Macaca fascicularis: one gene and its partner. The protein of the gene in region 2 purifies or fractionates together with the protein of the main gene of each other region. This does not show direct contact. Links are inferred from orthologs where the notes say so. Each region holds a gene or a part of one and is shown on either strand. Other genes may lie near its edges.

What was found.
Region 1: the proteins of FHL2 (region 2) and EYA3 purify together in Homo sapiens (affinity purification with mass spectrometry; 3 studies listed by BioGRID and IntAct, with this or other methods). This does not show direct contact. The link is inferred for Macaca fascicularis from reciprocal best matches to the Homo sapiens genes FHL2 and EYA3.

What each region holds. Positions count from the first base shown.
Region 1 is NC_088375.1:207,099,099-207,101,727, forward strand, and holds the end of EYA3 (protein phosphatase EYA3), read left to right. Parts: intron 1-800; coding exon 801-901; intron 902-1,876; coding exon 1,877-1,984; 3' UTR 1,985-2,002; downstream 2,003-2,629. UniProt on the Homo sapiens protein: Tyrosine phosphatase that specifically dephosphorylates 'Tyr-142' of histone H2AX (H2AXY142ph). 'Tyr-142' phosphorylation of histone H2AX plays a central role in DNA repair and acts as a mark that distinguishes between apoptotic and repair responses to genotoxic stress.
Region 2 is NC_088387.1:9,795,242-9,798,897, forward strand, and holds part of FHL2 (four and a half LIM domains protein 2), read right to left. Parts: intron 3,370-3,656; coding exon 3,200-3,369; intron 1-3,199. UniProt on the Homo sapiens protein: May function as a molecular transmitter linking various signaling pathways to transcriptional regulation. Negatively regulates the transcriptional repressor E4F1 and may function in cell growth.

The sequences.
Region 1 (2,629 bases), on a different chromosome or scaffold from region 2:
GAATTGGAAGGAAATGGCTGTTTGTTTGTTTGTTATTGTTTCTGACAAGAAATCAGAGCCTTGTGTTTTCATTTCTCTTTTCTACCCTAAAACATTTCACCTCAAAAATCATTCATTCATTATGGTACAATGATCAGAGCCTAGATTTGGAGTCAGGGGCCCCAACTTCTAGCTACTTGCTTGTTTGTGATCTAGGGGCAAGTTACTAAACCTATGAATCCCTCCCATTTATAGAAATTCCCTCCCACTAAGATCTTAGGGACTTCACCCTCAATGTGAAGGTTAAAATAAGTTTTGTTTTGTTTTGTTTTGTTTTGTTGAGACAGAGTTTCACTGTTGTTGCCCAGGCTGGAGTGCAATGGTGCGATCTTGGCCCACTGCAACCTCCGCCTCCCAGGTTCAAGCGATTCTCCTGCCTCAGCCTCCTGAGTAGCTGGGATTACAGGCATGTACCACCACGCCCAGCTAATTTTGTTTTTTAGTAGAGACATGGTTTCTCCATGTTGGTCAGGCTGGTCTCAAATTCCCGACCTCAGGTGATCCACCTGCCTCGGTTTCCCAAAGTGCTGGGATTACAGGCATTGAGCCACTGTGCCTGGCCAAGTTGTTTTAATGGCACAACTTCACATTCTTTGGGTAGAGGGTCTACTGGATCTCTAGCTCCCATCCCTACTCCCCAGAAAGCAAACTACGTGGACTGTCATTTAGTCCACCTAAGCACAGGCAGGTGAACCTAGCAGCAGCCCTTTTCTTTGGTTTTGAAAAGAGTATTCTAACAGGAAATTTCTTTTTCTCATCAGGTAAGGAGAGCTGCTTTGAGAGGATTGTGTCAAGGTTTGGAAAGAAAGTCACATATGTAGTGATTGGAGATGGACGAGATGAAGAAATTGCAGCCAAACAGGTAACCATGGTAAAGAAAAATAGTCTATGTGGTTGTACATCAAGTAATTAGAAAAAATGAGAAAAACTACAAAATCTTAGCAATCTATTATGCATTTATAGTATCTTCTCTTTCTTCCTCTCCCATTTTTCTTTAAAGAAAAAGAGGGTCTTTTTTTTCTCCAGATGGAGTTTTTCCTTTTAAGTTTTAGATCCATCCCTTCCTTTTCCTCCCTGTCACTCAAGAATCTTAAAATCTTTAAGCCGTTCTACAGGGATCCCATCATTCAACCTGAGATGTGCCCCATCTTCCATCTTCAAAGACAGTGCCTTCTCAAGCATCAGACTTGACTGCAAAAAGGCTAATCTTTCTTTCTTTTCCATTATTCAAGTTCTCAGACAGTACAACCAATAGCTCTTTCTGTAGAGAACGTCTTTCCTGCCTTTGAGCCCTGGAAAGATTGCTCTGATGTTAACCCCATCACTATACAGGTCCCAACTTCAGGTCACCCCTTATTTATTTATTTATTTATTTATTTATTTTCTTTTTTTGAGACGGAGTCTCACTCTGTCACCCAGGCTGGAGTGCAGTGGCATGACCTCGGCTCACTGCAACCTCCGCCTCCTGGATTCAAGCAATTCTCCTTCCTCAGCCTCCCAAGTAGCTGGGACTATAGGCACCTGCCACCATGCCCAACTAATTTTTGTGTTTTTAGTAGAGACAGGGTTTCCCATATTGGCCAGGCTAGTCTCGAACTCCTGACTTTCTGATCCACCTGCCTCGGCCTCCCAGAGTGCTGGGATTACAGCCTTGAGCCACCACGCCCAACCCAGGTCACCCCTTCTTGATATACGAAACAGTAGATGAAAGAGTCTTGGCTATAGAACCTAAAATCCCATCTGTGTATCAGCTATGTGACTTTGAACAATTATCCTCATCTGCTAAATGGATCTGTAGAAGTTCTTTCCCTCCCTACCCCAATTTATTTTCTTCCAGCAACTCTATTTCTTAGACCTGGAGGCATTGGGTTGCCAGCTAGAACCAACTGCCCTGATACTCTTCATCCAGTTAAGTAGAAATCTTAGCAACTATAATAAAGTATGAGATTGGTAATCAGTCGGCATTATTATCTCATGTTTCCGTTTGCTACTTTATGTAGCAATTCAGGGATCCTTATTTTTTCGCATATGTTATGAAGCTTTAATTCTAATGTGCTTCTTGTTGCCCTTTTTGGGAAAGACACTAGTGGGTGTATGCATCAGTGTTTCCTGGTCTGAAGAATGGTATGGGGGAGAGAAAGAACAGCTCAAGTCATCAGCAGAGTTGGTAACTCTGACAATGTCTAGAATCATCTACAATAGAATACACCATTGTGGCTGGGCATAGTGGCTCACGCCGATAATCCTAACACTTGGGGAGGCCGAGGCAGGCAAATCACCTGAGGTCAGGAGTTAGAAACTAGCCTGGCCAACATGATGAAATCCCGTCTCTACTAAAAATATAAAAATTAGCCGGGCATGGTGGTGCATTCCTGTAATCCCCGCTACTCAGGAGGCTGAGGCACGAGAATTGCTTGAACCCTGAAGGCGGAGGTTGCAGTGAGCCGAGATTGTGCCACCGCACTCCAGCCTCAGCAGCAGAGCAAGACTCTGTCTCAGGAAAACAAACAAAAAAAGTATATACCGACTGGAAAATGCTTACCACTTTATCCATTTCAAGCTATACTCTGTGAAGGATCTTTTCTGCAGC
Region 2 (3,656 bases):
CTTAAAGGACAGCTGGGACTGGCACCTGCTGATGCCACAAGAAGATATGGGCATCTTGGAAGTTTTGGGAAAAATCAGCCAGATGCCTTCATTCTCACCCGTCTTGTGGTCTTAGAACATCTGTGAGGTGAAGCTGCAAAGCCACACAAGGTGGAACGGCCATCAGTACCTCAATTTTACCTGGTATTTTTCTCCAAATGTTGCATCTCACATTCTGTTTAAAAATGCGTGCGTGGTGGAGCTGAGTAAGCTATCAAAGGAGTGTAGGTGGCCTCAGCTTGGCAAACGAAGGCCATGGAAGATGGAGTGCAAGCACCTCACAATCACGCTTTTTTGCTTTTTATTTTTTGAACATTTCAGTATCATCCAGTAATTCCTTTGGTCTTTACATAAAGCTTGTGAAGTAAGAAAGATACTAATTTTATGGGTGAGTAAACTGAGACTCAGAGAAATTAAAAAGTGACTTGCTGAAGAATTCATAGCTGGTTAATGACAAAGCAGGAGCTAGAATTCCAGACTCCCTTCTATCTTGTATTCTTTTCATTAAACCATGAATCATAAAGCATCTTCCTATAACCCACCCCACCGCACAACAGAATGAACACAAAACACGCTTGGTTGCAACGCATCCATATGCATCAGTAGCCTGTGTGTGTAAGACGTCTCCTCTGCCTGCAACATACGTCCTCAGTCCTCCCTCACTCCGGATTCCATGCTTCCCACCCACATCAGCTAACTCGATGCCTCTCAGCATAGCATGATTTTCTCAGAGACTCCCTCCCTAAACGCCACCCTGGCCCCCGACTCCTCAGATGAGTTGAGGTCCCTCCATTCCACACTCTGCCTTTCTCCTCCACAGCACACTGCTTAGTAACGACTGACGGGTTTGACACTGGAGTGTACTTCCAGCTAGACTGCAGTTAAGTGTCTGCATCTTGTCCAGCATCGGATCCCCAGTGCCTGAGAGGGCCAAGTTCATGTCGAGGAATGGATGCTTCTGGCGTGAAGGTTTTTGTGTGTATTTAACGAACATGCACACAAAAGGCATGCATCCCAGAAGGATGTGTTGCTTTCATTTCCGCAAATGAATAAAGCACACACTGGAAAGATGACAGAGGAAGAGCAATTCAGATGAACTTCTGTTAGGTCTTGATGAGAAAAACAAACCAAAATGAAAATAAAAAGGGGAGAGAACAGGGAAGAGAGTTCCTAAAATAAAAGCAAGAATGAGACCTCAATCTAAGAATAAAGAAAAAAACAGGAGTTCGTGACCAGTCTGGCCAACAAGGTGAGACACCATCTCTACTAAAAAACACACACACACACACACACAAAAATTAGGTGGGTGTGGTGGTGGCGCCTGCCTGTAATCCCAGCTACTCAGGAGCCTGAGTAGCTACTCAGGAGCCTGAGGCAGGAGAATCGCTTGAACCCGGAAGGCAAAGGTTGCAGTGAGTTGAGATCATGCCACTGTACTACAGCGCAGGTGACAGAGTGAAACTGTCTCAAAAAAAAAAAGCATAAATGGAGAGGAAATTAAGAGAAATAAAATCTAAAATAACAGTAAAGAACAAAAGGGGCTGGGTGCAGTGGAGGCGGAGGCAGATCGATCACCTGAGGTCAGGAGTTCCGAGATCAGCCTGGCCCACATGTTGAAACCCCGTGTTTTCTAAAAATACAAAAAAGTCGGCCAGGCATGGTGACGTTTGCCTGTAATCCCATCTACTTGGAAGGCTGAGGCAAAAGAAATCGCTTGAACTGGAGAGGCAGAAGCTGCAATGAGCCAAGATCGTGCCACCGTACTCCAGCCTGGGTGACAGTGTGAGATTCTGTCTCCAAAAAAAAAAAAAAAAATGGAAACGAGAGAAAGGCTGAATGGAAATTGGTAAGAATACTCAGCACTTAGAAAAGGTGCAGGCAAGGGGGACATTCTTGCCCAGGCCAGCCAGGTACAGGTAGAGGCACTGGGATGTTTCTCCATGGCCAAGAGGCAAGGGTAGAGGCCCCAAGGGCAACACAGCAGAAGCTGGGTAAGCAGGGTCAATGAGAGGTTGAGAGCAAACAGAACCTGCAATGAGTTCCACAGCTGGCATTGCCCAGGGCGAGTGAGCCGTGGGAGGGTGCCACTCAACAGGCTGATGCAAAGCCTAACAGCACAGAGACGCTGGAAGCTACGGCATAATCAGAGTTGCGTGTGTGTGAGAGTCAGAGGGCACAGCAGAAAACCAAGTTCTACCCTGACGGGCACAGGTCGGGGGGCAACTGGGCAGAGAGTTGGCTTCCTACAGATAGGCAGTTCCCTTTCTTTCTTTAACCCTAACAGAGCCATGACTGGAACAGATCGAGTAGTTAAGTTTATTTATTGTTATTTTTTTAATTTTTTGAGATGGAGTCTTGCTCTGTCACCCAGGCTGGAGTGCAGTGGTGTGATCTTGGCTCACTACAACCTCCACCTCCCAGGTTCAAGCAATTCTCCTGCCTCAGCCTCCCGAGTAGCTGGGATTACAGGGGTGCACCACCATGCCCAGCTAAGCTGTGTATTTTTAGTAGAGATGGAGTTTCACCATGTTGCCCAGGCTGGTCTTGAACTCCTGACCTAAGGTAATCCACCAGCCTTGGCCTCCCACAGGTGATCCACTAGCCTTGGCCTCCCACAGTGCTGGGATTACAGGCATGAGCCTCCTTGCCTGGCCAGAGTAGATACATTTGATAAATGATCTGTCCCATATCCACGGGGGCAGACTTTTCTCCTTTACTTTTCTTCTCACATCCCGTCTCTCTCTTCTCCCTGCTCCCTCCCTTCCTCTCCCCCTCTTCCTTCCATCTTTCTCTCCCTCTCAAGTTTGCAGTTGTTTTCTTGGTTTATTCATGGAGAGAAGCTGAACAAGACAGCTTTGGGATAGTGGCTCCCCTTCCCTCTACCATCAGGTCATCGACATAAGAATATATTTAGAATGGTCTAGAAGAAGGCAGGGTTAAGCGATTTGATCACAGGAGCTCAACAGCGTTGATGTTTTTGAAAGAAGGATGGGCGCCCAGACCCAATGGATAAAGCTCGGCATGTAAGGCAGGACAGGCACAGCTCCCACGCCATTCCAGTATCACAGGTATCCTTGTTTTTGGAAAGAGAACTGACAGACATGGACCGTGGAGGCAAACCGGCCAGGATGTGCAAGGGCCAAGGGGGAATCTGAAATACCTTTTTGCACTGAACGCACTGCATGGCATGTTGTTTCTCATAGCAGGGCACACAGAAATTCTGATTGTCTTTGGGGATGAAACTCTTGGTTCCAATTGGCTGCTGGCAGCGGTGGCAGATGAAGCAGGTCTCATGCCAGCTGCTGCCCTTGTACTCCATCTTGCGGGTACCTGTCATCAGGGTCAAGAGGAACACAGCAGAGTTATGCTTAGAGGGGCGTGGAGTCCCAGCAATTGCCTTCAGAGCTTGCCACCCTCTAGTTTTATGACCAGAGCAAGTCACTTCAGCTCTTGAAGGCTCACCTCTAAATGGAGGTAATTCCTATTTTGTGCAGGGCATGGACTTTGTCTTTTGGTTCACTACTGTACACCCAGCTCCTAGAACAACACGTGTACATTTTAGGTACTTAACATTTATTTATTGAAAACCGTGGTTAGGAATGTTAAATCTAAAAAAA